4 linked regions of the Ovis aries genome follow. The protein of the gene in region 2 interacts with the protein of the main gene of each other region in a pairwise test. Links are inferred from orthologs where the notes say so. Each region holds a gene or a part of one and is shown on either strand. Other genes may lie near its edges.

Region 1 (4,274 bases), on a different chromosome or scaffold from region 2:
AACCAAGGAGGTACCTTTCTCTTAACGGGCACGAACACACCCTGTGGGCTAGCAGCAGTCCCTCAGACTTTACTGGGCCAAGTCCTTGAATTTATGGGAAATCACTGAACAACTGATTGTGATTCCTGGGATGGAGGTGAGACAGGACTGACTTTGAAGAGGCTCTCAGAGACATTCCCAGCTTGGCGGTTGAAGGCAATCAGGACACAGGGGGCAGTCTCTCCTGGCCCTGCCTCTCTCCGCCAACCAATGCAGGTAACCACCAACACAGTATTGTAAAAAACACTCAAGACACAGACCCAGGCTGGGTTTATTGAAATGCCAGAAGTACGCGTGTGACAAGGGAGCCAAAGAAAGGAAGAAGGTGGTGTCGGCTGTGAGGTGGCAGGGACAGGCCCTGTGTCCTTGGCCCTGGCATCCCCCTTCTGTGCTGGGGGCAGAGTGGGAGCAATTACCCACTCTCCGCCAACAAAATGGCATGCTCAGGCCCGCAGGACCTCTGCCCCCTGCACTGTGAAGGCCCCGAGGAGAGGGATTGGAAGCACTAGTTTTCTCTCTTGTGAAAGAGGAAGAGAAAAGGAGGAAGCAGGAGGAGGGGGAGGTGCAGCCAGGGATGAGGGTGGCCAAGGAAGGTTCTCCTGCTGGCGTCTGCACCCCGCCTGTGGTTCTGGATGACCGAGGGGAGGCAGCAGCGAAGAGAGGCTGAGGGTCCAGCCCTCACGGAGCCATTGCCTCCAGCCAGCAGGGACTGGAGTCAGCCCAAACACAGGACAGAAGTTCAAAGGGATCGAAGATGCAGGCAGTTCCCGAGTGACCCAGTCCTCAGAGCTGGAGGGGCTCGACCTCCATGGGACAAGGAGAGGGAAGACAGGCGGAGGCTCCAGCCCCAGTAGTGGGGGCAATGGCCATCTCCCTCATTTGGCCCTATTAGGTCAGTTCCACATTGTTGGCACGGTCCAGCACACGGGAGCCACGGGCACTGCCCCCCAGCTGGAAACGGCTCTCATAGAGAGTGGGGCAGAGGTGCCAGCGGTTGGCCCGGTAGATGCCCAGGTAGGTGTAGACGTCAGGCTTGTAGGTAAGCAGACACTTCACGCCTGCCGCACGGATGGCTGCATCTGCCTCCAGAACACCCAAGCGGTCCGTGAAGTCGTCCGTATAAACGCAGATGACCTGCCGCCCCCCCTCCTTGGCCCGTGGGCTCACCTTGGCCACCTGCAGCCGGCCCTCAACCACAGCCCGAGCAATGCCAGCCCAGGCGTGGTCCAGCTTGAAGCCAGGTGCCAGGTGTATCAGCCATTTGCCAGAGAGCACTTGGTGGGTGATGGCCAGCTGGCGCAGGGTACCAGGCGTTATGGGCCGCCCGCTGGTCTGCAGAGCTTCCCAGGCGGCCTGTAGGCCCTGCACATCACCCGAGTTGGGGATGTAGCCCTGCCCATACACTGCAATCCAGCCCACGGGCTCAGAGTTGGGCGAGCCAGGGTCCCCATAGCGGGTAACTTGGGACGGCGGGTACTTGGCCAACCAGGCATCCAGCTCTGTGGCAGGTGTCATGCGGGCATCAAACACCAGCCAGGGGTCCATGTCGGCTGCCATGGCCTCTGCAGCCAGGTGCTCAGCAGTGAAGCCATCTTCACGACCACCTGGAGAGTCCTCTTCCTCCAGCTCCTCACCTGGTTCCATCCTGCGGGAGGGAACCGAATCAGGGCAGGGCCGGGACAGACTCAACTTGCTGAGTCCTAGGGGGTGCCAGGGAGAAGGCGATGGCACCCCACTCCAGTACTCTTGCCTGGAGAATCCCATGGATGGAGGAGCCTGGTAGGCTACAGTCCACGGGTCACTAAGAGTCGGACACGACTGAGCGACTTCACTTTCACTTTTCACTTTCATGCACTGGAGAAGGAAATGGCAACCCACTCCAGTGTTCTTGCCTGGAGAATCCCAGGGACGGGGGAGCCTGTTGGGCTGACGTCTATGGGGTCGCACAGAGTCGGACACGACTGGAGCGACTTAGCAGCAGCAGCAGCAGCAGCAGCAGCAGCAGCAGGGGGTGCCAGGCACTGAACTGAACGGTGTGGGCCTGGGCCTCGGCTGCCGCGTCTCCACAATGGATAACAACTTGTTACTGCCTCAAGCAGTTGTGCAGAATTAACCGCCTGAGGTGGAACAAAAGCTATATAAATGTAGTTAGTGTTATTACTGCTCTCCTTGACCTACAAACGAGGAAACCGAAGCTCAGAGAGAAGGGGCTCACTGCAGGTCACACCTTCAGTGAGTGATAGGGCCGAAACGGCAATTCAAATGCGGGAACCGCCGGCCCAGCTACGCCTCCTGGCCCTGCCAGAGCCTGGCCGCTCTCCCGGGCGCTGGGATTTAATGGAGGGAGGCAAAGCACACGTCCTCGCCGCACCGAGGCAGGGCCCATGGGGCCAGGCCTCCGGGCGAGCGTTATCCAACCTACTTAAAGACGAGGGCACTGAGGCGAGAAACGGGCAGTGTCCGATCCGAGACCAACGGGGCGGTGCCTGGACTCGAACCCCGGCTGGATAGAGGCTGCAGGAGAGCCTGCCTCCCGCCCCGCCGCGCCCGCCGCCATTAGTGCCCACGGCCCGAGCTGCGCCCCCGTCCTGCCCCCTCCCGCCAACCCCAGCGTCACCTCCGGCCTTCGCTGCGCTCGGCGCCGGGCCAGCCCCGGGCCCGGCTCCGTTCCTGCCGGGGATCTGCGCCGCTGCCACCGCCGCGCCCCGCCCCCGCCACGGCTGCCGCCGCCGCCGCCATCTTAGTACCCCGGCGCCTCAACAAGAACTTTATAGACAAACGCAGCACAGGGCGGGGCCGGGAAGGGGCGGGGCCATGGGGGCGGGGCCATCAGGGAAGGCGAGGAGGGGCGGGCCTTGGGGGGCGGAGCTAACGTTCGCTCTTCAGGTCTTGGGGGCGGGCGGGAGTGGCGGTTCCGCCCCGGACGGACGCGCAAAGCCCGGGAGGCTCTAAGGGGGAGGGCGCTCGGGCCCTGCCGGCGGCGTCCTGACCGGCGGCGCTAGGACCCTGTAGGAAGCGTTGGGGGCGGAGCCGGCGGCACCAGGACCCGGGGGAACCGCGGCGGACGGGCTAAGAGCAGGCCCGGGTGCCGGGAGGCTGCGGGCGGCGGCGCTGGGTCCGGCGCGGCGGGAGAGGCCCCGAGATGCCGAGCAAGAAGAAGAAGTACAACGCGCGGTTCCCGCCGGTGAGCACGTGAGCGGGCCCCAGAGGAACGGGCCGGGCTCTCGGGAAGCTCCGGCCCAGGCCGGACTAGGGAGGCGGGCGCATCGCCGTGTTCGGGGCCCCGTACGCCCCGCCCCCTTCCGTGCCCTTCCAGCGTGGGTGCCCCCCGCCCCCTTTCTCCCGGGATGCTCCCTCTCTCTGCCCGGCTTAAGCACCCTTTCTGGGACGGAGGCTACGGGGTCCGAGCTGTCTGCCCCCTCCCCAGGCACGAATCAAGAAGATCATGCAGACGGATGAAGAGATTGGGAAGGTGGCGGCGGCCGTGCCTGTCATCATCTGTATCCTGTCGGGAGCTGTCGGGATGGGGGAGTGGGGGAGCCCGGCAGCCCCGGGGTCGCTTTTTGTGGACTGGGCCACCACCCTGCGTTCTCCTTGACCCTCCTCAGCTCGGGCGCTCGAGCTTTTCTTGGAGTCTCTGTTGAAGAAAGCATGCCAAGTTACCCAGTCCCGAAACGCCAAGACCATGACTACATCCCACCTGTGAGTGGCTCCGATCCTAGAGGGCCCAGTTGGGGGTCTTCCTCCAGTTCACACGCCTGGGGGAGGCTGTGCCCTGATAAGGAATTGGTAGGCTGCTGTGAGATCTGTGGATTTGAGGAGGAGGATTAGGATGTTCTGGCCAAGGGGGAGGGTTGGGGTGGAAATTTTCCAGGTTCCATTCCCCTGACATCCACAGAGTCCGTACTGTCCCTTGTTGAGGGCCCAGATGTCTGGGCCTCATCCGAGTGCCAACCCCTTCCCACTTCTTCCAGGAAACAGTGCATTGAGCTGGAGCAGCAGTTTGACTTCTTGAAGGACCTGGTGGCATCTGTGCCTGACATGCAGGGGGATGGAGAAGACAACCACATGGATGGGGACAAGGGTCCCCGCAGGTAGGGTGCCAGGGACCAGTGTCCAGGTGGGGAAGGCCAAGGCCCCTGGACTTGGGGATGGCTGGGGAGTGGTGAAGGAGTGGGGAGACCTGTGGGCAGATGTACTGTACCTTCCCGAAGGGGCCGGAAGCCAGGCAGCAG
Region 2 (3,500 bases):
CACCTAGATGTTACACTTGGCTCTTCTTCCAGTAACTCCTCTAGTAACTTGTTATATCAATGAATGCTGAGCTACTGCTAACTTTATCATTCTGAAATTCAGGTCTGTTACCTTTTTTTTGCTCATAATCTTTTTAAGTTTAAAGCTTCTTACAGTTTGACCCCAAATTCTTGGCTTAAATATAGTGTGTCTCAGTCTTTTGTTAAGATTGTTGCTATAAGACTGTAATACCTTACAGTACTTGTCATAGGTAAATGCATAACTTCATGAAGACAGCCTTTATGTCTCTGTTGCTGCCATAACTCCCATGCTTAGTACAGTACCTGGCTTTCAATTTATTCACCAAATATTTATTGAAAACTTGCTTACATCAGTCAGGGTCCAGGTGGAACAACAGAAATCACACAAGAATTTTAACAGAGATAACAAGAAATCAGAGAGGTTGAAGAATTGAAAAAAGCAAAAGCGGAACCCAGAAAGCTGCTTCTCCTAGAACTGGGGCATACGGGATGGGGGTTACAGTTCGCAGAGCCAACAGTGTTGGTGGAGGAGCCCCGTGAGCTGGGCCTCAGGGGAGGGCCCCCTGTGATGGATGCTGGTACCTCTGGGGGCTGCAGGGAGGCTGTGCTGCCAGTGTCTGGAATCTGGAGACTGGAGTCACCTGCTGCCAGCAGCATGAAGGGCTGGCCCCAGGCAGTACTGGCAGGAGCAGGAAGCAGACAGGAAGGGGCAGGCCCTGGCACGTCCTCCTCGCGAGGGGTCCTGACCAGAAAGCCATGGCAGAAGAGGGCTCACCACAGAGGGTGGGCTTGGAAGGCACGGACAGTCTGTGACGCTTGCTGGCCTCTCTTCTCTTCAGTGTGCCCACAGGCTTCTTTCTTCATATTTCTTCACATTTGTTGACGCGCAACAAATATTTTCTGGTAAGGGAACCATAGTAAGTACGTTCAGCTTTACTAGCCAGTATATACAGAGACCTTGAGAGGCTTCCGGGCAGAAATGAGCTTGAGAGGCCTGAGAGACAGGACCTCGGTGAGGGCAGATGAGACAGAATGTGGCTGCAGATGCACTGGGGGGTGACATTGGAAGGGCTGTCAGGCCAGGTAGTCTGTGGCCTTGTGGACAGGGTAAGGGGTTGGGGGTCTGAGTTGTGGGATTAACAAAAGGGTTTCAGTGCTTGCTGTGTGGAGGGCAAATAGAAGGGCAAGAGTAGATGGTGGTCATAGTAGCCTTAGCAGGAGGGAGCAGTGGTCATGTGTTGGTCATATGGATCATGGTAAGAACACCGAGTAAGCACTTAACTGTACTTGCTGGAAAGAAATTCTTTTCCAAAAGTTATACTCCAAAGCTCCTCCCTTTTGTCCTATGTTTCAGCTAAACTAAATTCATTTGCTTAATTTTTTCTATCCCATTGCCTGATTTTTATGCTTTTATAGCTGTAATCATTGAATTTTTGTAATTCTTCAAAAGTTGTATTTTCTGGTATTGTGCTTGATTAGTGGTATGGCTCTTTGTGTGTGTGTGATGTCCTGGTGACTGTGATTCTGAACGGAGACATTGGCAGCCTGTGTGTGTGCGGCTGAGGTTTCTCTCCCCCATCATGGCTGTTCTGAGCATCACGGTGTCAGACCAGAGCTTTTCATGACAGGTTCCGGTTAAGACGCTTTGGTAACAAATATGCTCTTCCCTCATTTTCTTTGGTAGAGGAAAGGGTCCACTTAAAACACTAAACTCATTTTGGTCAAGAAAAAAAAATTAGGAATGTGAGGCCTGGTACCTAACGGAGTCCCTAGTACAGCTATTCTCCATACAGTTGGTTAATCCACAGATGTTTACCAAAGGGATGAAAAATAACATTTGTCTTGTGTGTGTCAGCACTTGACTAGTAGGTGCTTTTAGTCCTTGTAGTGGAGCTGTGAGGTAAGAAGTTTGCCTCTGTAATAAAAACTCTGAAAGGGTAAGTACATTGTTGAAGGCCATATAAAAGAACCCTCAGGAAGATGCTGTGTGAGTTTAAAAGTAAAGTACAGCCTTTATAAAGTTCAAGGATAATATATTTGAGTTGAAAACAAGCCAGGGTACACATAAAACAAATGCCAGTGAATTCATCGGGCAACAGAGTCATTGAGTCTGCTGGAGATGGTGTCTGGGGGGGTAAATTACCTGCAGAATTAGTTTTAAAAAACAAAATAGGGTCATTTTTGCAAAACTCATATCTGAAGGAAATAATCGGCAGATTACATTTTAGGAAACCACAACAGAATATGTTCAATTTTGGATTTTCTCAGGGCGCGTGTTTGCGAATACTGACGTGTTGCATGTGTCTTTGGCAGCAGTTGGTGGCACGGCCTTCCAGCATGGACCACATGGTGGCCCCTGTCACTGGTGGCGACACTGGGATCCGCAGAGCAGAGATCAAGCAAGGGATCCGAGAAGTCATCTTGTGTAAGGATCAAGACGGGAAGATTGGGCTCCGGCTGAAATCCATAGACAATGTAAGTGCTTTCAGTACACTTGTCTGATTAGCTGTTATGTGACCCAGTTACAATTTAAAATGTAAATGCTTTAATGAAGTGTAATGGTGCTCTCTGATCAAGACTACTTTTAATCTGCTTTTCCACGTGAGATGCTACCCTGTTCTGAAGAGGCAGAGCTGGGACTTGAGCATTACCATGGATGAATTTTTTCTGAGTCCTTTTTCTGGAATAAAGTTCACTAGTCTGCGTGTATTATAACATAGTTCATACAAGGAGAATGCTGGCATTGAAATAGGGTAACGTGTGGAAGTTAAGACTGATAGGTGAGGGTCAGTGGTCTTGTGTATTTTTAAACTTAAAGACGATCATGTGACTTGTAATGTGGTTTGGGGTTTGTTATTTCCATCCTTGAATTTGACTTTCATGGGGCATTTTCCAGGCAACAGTGACTTTCTAAAGTACATTACTTCACCTCTCACCTTACCAGATGGAAGAAATGAAACCTGGTTACTCTGTGGGGAAGCACTTAGGATCACTAAGGAGGTGCTGAGTCTTTACCCTGATTTGTGGGTTTCCAGGTTATTTATTGGGCTTCTTTTCAGTCTTCGGTCTCATAGCTCAGCGCATCCAGCCTTTGCATGTAGAAGATGTGGCGCCTGGCGGAAGATGTTTGAGGCCAGTCCGGGCCCTACCTGCCTCCCCAGAGGCTGAGGGCATTGTGTCTTTGCACACTTGTGGCTTGTGTGAGACCCTCATTGAGTGTGCTGCTCTGGGAAGCTCGCACTTCCCTGCCCTCTCTACATCCTAGAGAGAGACCACACTCTCCGCAGCTCCACCCCTGCAGCAGTTATCCTTGCAGTGGTTTGTCCAGTGGCCGAAGCTTGTAGGTGTAGCCACTCTGCTGGGTGCCGTCCTCAAGTACAGGATACGCAGCACCAAATCTGAGTACAGGCTACGCAGCACCAAATCTGGGGCAGCTCAGGACGGAGAAGGGGTGCGACCTGTGGTTGCTTTCATCTCTTA
Region 3 (4,274 bases), on a different chromosome or scaffold from region 2:
GATCCCCACACTTGCACCTGCCACAGGGCCTTTGCACAGGCTAAGCTCTAGCCCAGGGAACTTCCCCATCCTCTCTGTAACTCCTCCTCCTCCTTACACTCTTGGAGCATAAGGACCATTTCCTCTAGGAAGCCTCTTCTGACATATGCCCCTCCGTGGCCCTCAGGTAGAACCCACTCTGGTGGGTCAGGGTGCCACCCTTCATTGCAGTTCAGTTCTCACTCTTCCTTACTTGTGGGATCATTCCAGTGTTTGGAGAAGGAAATGGCAACCCACTCCAGTATTCTTGCCTGGAGAATCCCATGAACGGAGGAGCTTGGTGGGCTACAGTCCACGGGTCGCAAAGAGTCGGACACGACTGAGAGACTTCACTTTCACTTTCACTTCCAGTATCTGGCTCCACCCACTTGGCTGTAAGCTCCAGGAGGCCAAGGCAAGCCCTCCTGTTTTCCCGATGTTCTTGGAACCCAGTGCGGCCACCAGGCCTAGCACCCAGCAGGGGCTCCTTTAATTCTCTGGTTCGGTGGGTGGGAGTCTGGAAGGATGGACGCAGGGAGTATAAGGGGAAGAGGGTGTTCCAGGGGTGGGGAACACTAGTTCTGGGCGTTGTTTAACTCGCGGGGGAGGTCTGAGGGGCGTGCACCCGGTGGAAGGGACGAGTGGGTACTTGCGGAGTGGAGAAGGCCCCAGTGCGTGGGCGCGCGTTCCTTGGGCTGCAGCCGGCAGAGGGCGCTACCGGCTCGCCGGACACAGCGCTCCGGCCCCGGCGGCGGCGCCACGGAGTGGAGGAGGGGGGATTCTTCTGGAGGGCGGGCAGGGGGAGACTTTCGGAATGGGGGCAGCCCCCAGGGATGCACCCCCGAAGCCAGACCCCCAAAACCCCGCGCCTGCCAGGCAGCCCCCTCCGTGGCCGGGCCGGGGTCTAGCTCCCCAGCCCCGCGGCCCACTGCCGGCAGCCCCCTGCCGCCGCGCCCGGCCGCCGGGGGCGGGGGCGGTGGCCCACGGGGCACGTGGCTCCGGGTCCGGGCGGGGCGGCGCCCACCCCCTCCCGTCCCCCAGCGCCGGCCCGTCCCCGCGTGGCCGCGGCCGCGGGGGCAGAGGGAGGGAGGGCGGGGCGCGGGCGGCGGCGGCGGGCGGCGCCGGGGAGGGGGTCGCGCGGGGGCGGGCCGCGGGCCGGGCGGGGGTCGGCGGGCTTCCGGGCGGCGGCGGCGGCGGGCGCGGCGCGATGTGCGAGCGGGCGGCGCGCCTGTGCAGGGCCGGCGCGCACAGGCTGCTCCGGGAGCCGCCGCCGCAGGGCCGGGCGCTGGGCGGGCTGCTGCGCTGGGTGGGCGCCAGGATGGGCGAGCCCCGGGCGCCGCTGGCCCCCGACGCCCCCAACACCCCCGTCGCGGACCCCGGCCCCTACCCGGGCCCCGCCTCGCCGCGCGGGGGCACCGCCGTCATCCTGGACGTGAGTACGCGCGGGCCGGGACCCGTTCTCCCCACCGGGCGACGCGGACGCCACGCTCCCGGGACCCCGCTGGGACCTGCAAGACCCCCTTCTGCTTGAGGGGCAGGGGTCCCCGGGCAGGGACGCTGGCCCGCACCCCGGGGGTCCAGAGCGGGATCCACCGGCTCCTCCTTGTGCAGAGCGCGGCCCCCAGCTCTTCGGCCCCCGGGCCGGTCTCCGTGCGGGTCCCGTCTCGTCCCCGGACCGGGACGACCCCTTTACCTCCCTCCCCTTCTCGGGATCTCCACATTCTCGGAGCCGGGACCCTGGAGCCCCTCGACCCGGCCACCGCCCCCTACTTCTGTCCTGGCCAAACCCTCATCTTTCTCCAGCCCGCGCTTCATCCTTCACCCAGCTCCTTCCCGGGACGCGAGTCCCAGACCGCCGTCGGCCCCTGCTCCTGCCCGCCCCACCGACCCCTGCCCCCCGTCCTTACTTTTCTAAGACTCTCCCCCCAACCCACCCCATCACACACACAATCCCTGGGTCCAGGGCCATTTTTCTTGTCCGAGCTTTGGACCTTAAGCCCTTGTATCCTCAACCCTTTTGCCTCAGGCACCACCTTTTTAAAAGCAAAGCCCCCTCCCCACCTGCCTTCCTCTCTCCTTTCAGTAGGACTGGAGCCATCCCCCATCCTCTCTGAGGACCACCACTCCATTCTGAGCCAGTCCTTGATCCCCTTCCCCCGCTCCCCCCTCCCTCTCCCTCTCCTCACCCCTCCCTCTCCCTTTCCTCACCCCTCCCCCTGCTCACCCCCTCCCCTTTTCACCCTCTCTCCTCCTCACCCCCACTCCGCACCCCTCCCCCACGTCCTCTGGAGCCCAAACCGCCCCACCTCACCCTCCCACCCACTCTCCTCTGTAGGAGGGAGCCTTCTGCAGGGTGGGGGGGCGTCCCCCGTGGGGTGCTCTGCCCACCCCAAGGGGCAGCATGGCAGTGGGGTGTGCCTGTCCTAGGGAGGGTCCTCCGAGGTGGGTGACACGGGGCTGGGGGTGCCATGTTTATGTATGGTGGGTGGGTTTCAGGGAGAGGTGTGTGTATCACATCCTGGTGAGAGGGGGACAGTGTGGGTTTCCTCTCGCCCCTCCACCCCCACCACGTTCCTGTTGGAGCCTCCATCGCTGGCTCTCAGCCGACAGGGCAGGGGGTGATCTGCCGCACGTGGCCATGGCTCCCAGGCTTCCCAGAACGTGCTCACACACAGCCCACTCGCACCTGCACAGGTGAGCCCTCTCAAAGCCCCAGTGAGTTCGCAGCTGAAAGCCCTTGCAGCGGACAGCTCTGTCCAGGCCCCCCCCCTTTTGCACAGGACAGGACGTGGACTCTGGAGTCCTCACGCCACGCTGCTGGCTCTGAGCCCCAGTCTCCTCATCTGTGAAATGGGGGTGATGAGCGAGTGCCAGGGCCACATCTCCTGTCAGGTCAGTCACTTTAACGCTCACCCCCGGCCCCGGCACCTGAAGGTGGGACTCCAGCCTCCTCGGGAACCTTGCAGTCAGGAGCAGGCAGTGTGCGGTGCACAAGCTGGGGTGCTGGCAGCTGCCCCCTTTTCTGCCCCAGCTGCTCCAGACCTGTGTCCCCTGCCCCAACTTGGGGTTCAGCTCAAGAAAGGGGGAATGTTTGAGAATATCTTTCCTGAGCTGCTGCTTCAGTTTGTCACAGCCCGGGTGCCTGACAATGGATGCCTGCCCTACTGCTTGGAGGGAGGGGCCCAGCTCCCGCTCTCCAAGGTGTGAGGGTCACACGCTGGGGGCGGCGTCTCCCCCTCTTCCTACCTTCAGCAAGGCTTGCGTGCACGCGTGCTAAGTCACTCAGAAGGGTCCGACTCTGCGACCCCATGGACTGTAGCCTGCCAGACTCCTTTGTCCATGGAATTCTCCAGGCCAGATACTGGAGTGGGTAGCCTTTCCCTTCTCCAGGGGATCTTCCTGACCCAAGGATCGAACCCAGGTCTCGCACATTGCAGGTGGATTCTTTACCATCTGAGCCACCAGGGCAGCCCCCAGCAAGGCTTACTAGGACTAAAAACACCAGGAGGAGCTATCTGGTTTCAGCTGCAGCTGGAGGGGACCAGGCTGCCCCTTCCCTCCCCGCCTCTCTTTCTGAGCTGCTTGCGGGCTGCTCCTACCCACTGACCACCCCCAAAAAACTAATCCCGCCGTGCACTGGCTGATCCTGTCGTCAGGCCTCGAGGTTTGCTTGGCAGATGCCTCTGTTCAGATTTAACCCACCCTCCCTGGAGAACACCAGGCCCTCGAGAGGTCCTAGTGGGGGTGTAAGGTGAGTGGCTGCCTCCCACGGACGGGAGTGGGGAGCACGCAGCCGCCTGTGGGTGCTGCACGTGGGCCAAAGGTTCTGGACACACACCCGTGCGGCGTGCTCTCGACCGCATGGCCAGCAGCGCCTGAGGAAGAGGGGAGGCTGTCTCCTCGAGGGGAGCTGGAGGGCCACTGCCTGAAACACCCTTCCACCCCCGGGTCTCCTCCCTCAGGAGGGAAAAGGGGCCCGGCTTCCGCAGGTCCACTGGGCTGGGGGTGTTGGAAGCCTGCCCCTCCCAGCCGACACTGACTCGACCTCTCTTCTCTGCAGATTTTCCGCCGTGCGGACAAAAACGGTGAGTCTTCCCACACCCCGCGAGGCTGTCCCCGTGTGAGGACCTGGCTCTTTCTGGTTGGGGGTGCAGGACGCTGCCCTGCGCCTGTTTCTCCATCCTACGAGGGACCCCTGTGGTTCCTACTGAGCAGGGGAGCCATGCGGCTTCAGCGGGCAGGTGTGGGCAGTGCGG
Region 4 (4,289 bases), on a different chromosome or scaffold from region 2:
GCAAATGTGAAAAACACACAATTCAATAAGTGAATGACTTAAAGAATAACGTAAGAACCCCTGAAACTCATTTTCCTCACCACAGCAGAACTCAATTACAGGCTTTGTGGTTATGATGAACTAATGAAACACACATATTCTGGGCTTATCATTTCTGCTACAGACTAAGAATTCTCTGGAATAAAACTCCTGCTCCTATCCTATATAATAACTTATACACTGCAATACACACCTCCAAACTTGAATAAATAATAAACACATAACTATTTCCTTCCCTAAGTTTCCAGGTAGCCCTTTTAAAACGCCTTTCTACTGAAATCTTTGTAGCTGGCATTCAGAAGAGACAACTCAACAAATTCCATCTATACATACCTTCAAAATCACCTTTGTGCTGAATTTCTCTGTTCTTGAAATGTGGGAGCTTTTCAAAGTGAAATACTTTTTATAGTAACTAGTTCATCAACTAAAGGAGTCTTTGGGGTTAACATTCACATACAGGCTGGTTTAAGTAGCCAGGCACAGAAGGAGAATGTGATTATGGTGTTAGGTTACGCTTGACCATAACCAATACACAAACAGACCGTTTCATCCAAAACCTAATCCTTTTTTCTCTCTGCCCTCTCCATGTGGTCTACAAAAAAGGCGCTCTAGGTTGAAAAGTGACTTTTCCTACTGAAGAGCTACCACAAATAGTCACAAAACCATACCATCCCTCTTACCTTAATTTCTGTAAGATAAAACAGAATAATACCACATTCCCAAAAGGAACAGTACCACTTAAGCACAACACAGAGGCAACACCTGGCCTACAGGGTGACAGATGGGGGCCTGGGGTTTGAGGTCATAGACAGGTCAGAGCAGGAGAGAGAAAAGGCCACAGGTGAGGATCCTTAAGCCAGCTTGGCTTCATGACTAATTATAAGACCCAGAGTAAATCACTCTGTATTGCCCACCTGCTTCTTGGAGAAAAAATAAGTGAGATCATGAATCGAAAATTTATGGGTAAACTGGCAAATGTGAAACACTACTGGCAGTAGCATCCTTACAATTTCTGTGGCGAACTGAGAAACCGGAGTGTGGACACAAGTAATTCAGAGCGTGGGCATGGAGACCGGGCAAGTATGGAAGAGGAGGGCACTTAATGTGCTTCCAGTCTCCCTCATCCCGTCCTCCTTTTCCTGGAGCCCCACAAGGGAGAACCACAGGTAAGGTGGAGCATCTGGCTTTCACAGAGACCACCAGACGTCTGACCTCTTCATCACAGAAGGAAGGAACTCTAAAGCATGACTCGGGATTATGTCCAAGGTAAAGCCAAATCCAAATGAGTATTTGGATTCCATTTTCAATAGACTCCAAATATCACAATCCAAGACACGTTCAGTGATTCACAGATTCACTCTAAAATTTCTTCATGTAGTAATGCTTTAAACTGTGACAAATTAAAATTTAAATGACATGAACCTTAGAAACAGCATCTATGGTGGTCCTCACCACTCAATTCTTAATATTTATGATGTTATGCAAAATGAAGTACTAGTATGGTCTGATCAAAGAGCAAGTTGTCTCAACCTACCAACCATGCAGGTTAAAAAAGAGATTTTCCTTTTCCTAGCTACACATCTGTTTGTTCGAAAACATCTCAGTCCTGGGCTCAGTCCTGTGCTAAACGCTGTCCCCTCGCTTCTTTCCTCTCTTGGAATCGTTCATATACTCAGGCGTTTGTGAGAGCAAAGAAAATGCACATACCAAGGGGAAACGGTAAGACACGCTTAGGCTACCCCAAACGCTCTTGGCCAAACCAAGTTACCTCAGGTCTCGGGGCACTCAAACCTCTTCTATCACAAAGCCCTAAAATTGGAAGTAGCCAACTTGTTCCAGAACTGGTATAGTTGCAGAAACATGATAACTTCAGCACAATATCCAAAAAGGATCTCTGCTTCGTTTCTGGAGTCCCACCCCTCAGACAGCCTCCACCACTGACAGCCCAGCCCGGCAGGTGCTTCAGGGGCTCCTCACCACCACGGCCATTTATCACCTCTGACGTCCAGCATTAAGAATGCCCTGGGCACACACAAATCTGGGCATTAAGAACTCAGCTGCGGTCAATCCCTCTTTGGGGCAGAAAAATCCCCTAAGGCAGGGTTCAGAAGTCCTGCCGGGGGCTTTAAAATAAGGAAAACTGTAGCCAATAAGCACCACCCACAATCAATCATCTTCCAGCAAACCTTGAGGTGCTCCCGTCCCGGCTTCACTGCTGCCCACGGGCAGAGTCCCCCACCCCGACCCGGGCCCCGGGCGTGGGACGGGAGACACTTGGGGCCCGGGCATGGGGCGCGCACCCGAGCCCTAAACCCGGGTCCGCCGAACCCGCAAGTCCCAGCGGGGCAGGCCCCGGATCCTCCGCCCAAGGCCGGCCTCTGGTCGCGGGCAGCCCGCGGCGGGTTCGTGCCAGCCCCGGAGCGCGCCGCCTGGACTCCCCGAGGTCCCCTGAGCGCGGCCCCGCCACCGCCCGGGTTCCCCTCAACCCCGCTGCCGGGCCGCTCCGCGCGGTCTTCTGCTAGAGCCCAGCCCTCCCGAGCCCCGGGCCTCCGCGTCGTGGGCCCGCCCCTACTCACTGCGCTGCGGCGGCGGTGGCTGCCGGGCCGGGAGACGCCGGCGGCCGGAGAGCGCGAGCGCGAGGACGAGCGAGCCCGCGCCCGGTGGCGGCGGCGGCGGCGGCGGCAGAAGGGACGACTGAGCCCGCGCCCGGAGTTGCGGCTCCTGCCGCCCGGAGCGGGCGGCGCCTTTCCAGCGGAGACACGGCGCCACAGGCGCGGGCGCCCCCTAACGGCGTCGCGGGCTAGTGACCGAAGGGCCGAGCGGCCGGAGAAACTCAAACCAGGCGTAGCCTGGGCGGCTCCTTCAGGCTGGCTCCGCGGCAGCCCTGAAGCCCCGCCCCGACGCCCGATCCCGCCCCCGAGGCTCGGGCCCCAGACCCACGCGCTCCGCCCAGAATTCGCCCGACATCCCGCCTCCGCCCGCACTGGGGGATCTGCCCAGCCCCCGGCACTTTTCGCTAGGGCTCAAACCTAGTTTCTCCGGTCATTTTACGAATACTTAAGGGATCCCAACCAAGTGCCAGGCCTGACGAGTAAAGCGGTCACCAAGAAGGAGGGGCTTCCTAATGAAAGGAGAAACATTAAAGACCCAAGTAAACAGCCGACAAAAAAATGACTACAAAAAAAAGTTATGATTATAAAATGTTGGGAGGTACATGAATTCGATGGAGAATAAGCGGAGGGGGCCTCTGCTGCAGATACGGTGACTATACAAGATCTGGACTCTGGAACTGTGGTCCCAGGACTCCTGGCCTTACCCTCTGTGGGATTGATACGGTCACCTCTCCAGTCTGTGGGCGGAGTAGGGAAAGACAGCCAGATGGAGAGAAGGGCAGCAGAGAAAACGACCAGTGCAAAGGCTCTGAGGACTGAAGGAGCCAGCCCTAGAGGAAGCTGGCACCAATACTGTCCTCATTTCACCACGAAGGAAGCCAAGGCTGCAAGAGTGGGAATTACCTAAAGTCTGAGCTAATTGGTTTCCAAACATAGATTCCTTCCAAACAGAACTCACTTCTGGCTAACCAAATCCCCATCCCTTTCCAGGTGGGATCAGGTACAGGGATTTTGCCATTTCTCCTTCACAATAAGCAAAAGAGTTCAGAGAAACGTCTATTTCTGCTTTATTGACTATGCCAAAGTCTTTGTTTGACTGTGTGGATCACAATAAACTGTGGAACATTCTGAAAGAGATGGGAATACCAGACCACCTGACCTGCCTCTTGAGAAATCTGTATGCAGGTCAGGAAGCAACAGTTAGAACTGGACATGGAACAAACTGGTTCCAAATAGGAAAAGGAGTACAGCAAGGCTGTATATTGTCAACCCTGCTTATTTAACTTATATGCAGAGTACATCATCCCAGAGAAGGAAATGACAACCCACTCCAGTATTCTTGCCTGGAGAATCCCAGGGACAGAAGAGCCTGGTGGGCTGCCATCTGTGGGGTCGCACAGAGTCGGACACAACTGGAGCGACCTAGCAGCAGCTCCAGAGTACATGAGAAATGCTGGGCTGGATGAAGCACAAGCTGGACTCAAGATTGCTGGGAGAAATATCAATAACCTCATATATGCAGATGACACCACCCTTTGGCAGAAAGTGAGGAACTAAAGAGCCTCTTGATGAAAGTGAAAGAGGGGAGTGAAAAAGTTGGCTTAAAGCTCAACATTCAGAAAACTAAGATCCTGGCAT

What was found. The genes of interacting proteins can lie anywhere in the genome.
Region 1: the proteins of SDCBP (region 2) and C21H11orf68 interact in binary tests that used the Homo sapiens proteins (3 or more experiments, as listed by UniProt). The two-hybrid records come from large-scale screens. The link is inferred for Ovis aries from reciprocal best matches to the Homo sapiens genes SDCBP and C11orf68.
Region 3: the proteins of SDCBP (region 2) and NECAB2 interact in binary tests that used the Homo sapiens proteins (3 or more experiments, as listed by UniProt). The two-hybrid records come from large-scale screens. The link is inferred for Ovis aries from reciprocal best matches to the Homo sapiens genes SDCBP and NECAB2.
Region 4: the proteins of SDCBP (region 2) and KCTD6 interact in binary tests that used the Homo sapiens proteins (3 or more experiments, as listed by UniProt). The two-hybrid records come from large-scale screens. The link is inferred for Ovis aries from reciprocal best matches to the Homo sapiens genes SDCBP and KCTD6.

Annotation. Positions count from the first base shown.
Region 1 is NC_056074.1:40,461,937-40,466,210, forward strand, and holds C21H11orf68 (UPF0696 protein C11orf68 homolog), read right to left. Parts: upstream 2,801-4,274; 5' UTR 2,779-2,800; coding exon 2,657-2,778; intron 2,174-2,656; exon of another isoform or gene 1,932-2,173; intron 1,685-1,931; coding exon 928-1,684; 3' UTR 293-927; downstream 1-292. Other genes in the region: DRAP1 (dr1-associated corepressor), read left to right, coding at 3,182-3,223, 3,467-3,539, 3,648-3,741, 4,014-4,133, 4,254-4,274.
Region 2 is NC_056062.1:37,743,215-37,746,714, forward strand, and holds part of SDCBP (syntenin-1), read left to right. Parts: intron 1-2,333; coding exon 2,334-2,495; intron 2,496-3,500. UniProt on the Homo sapiens protein: Multifunctional adapter protein involved in diverse array of functions including trafficking of transmembrane proteins, neuro and immunomodulation, exosome biogenesis, and tumorigenesis.
Region 3 is NC_056067.1:9,830,324-9,834,597, forward strand, and holds the start of NECAB2 (N-terminal EF-hand calcium-binding protein 2), read left to right. Parts: upstream 1-1,474; 5' UTR 1,475-2,419; coding exon 2,420-2,712; intron 2,713-2,792; exon of another isoform or gene 2,793-2,798; coding exon 2,799-2,910; exon of another isoform or gene 2,911-3,695; coding exon of another isoform or gene 3,696-3,769; intron 3,770-4,078; coding exon 4,079-4,103; intron 4,104-4,274. UniProt on the Homo sapiens protein: May act as a signaling scaffold protein that senses intracellular calcium.
Region 4 is NC_056072.1:42,983,686-42,987,974, forward strand, and holds the start of KCTD6 (BTB/POZ domain-containing protein KCTD6), read right to left. Parts: upstream 2,801-4,289; 5' UTR 2,616-2,800; exon of another isoform or gene 373-2,615; intron 1-372. UniProt on the Homo sapiens protein: Probable substrate-specific adapter of a BCR (BTB-CUL3-RBX1) E3 ubiquitin-protein ligase complex mediating the ubiquitination and subsequent proteasomal degradation of target proteins.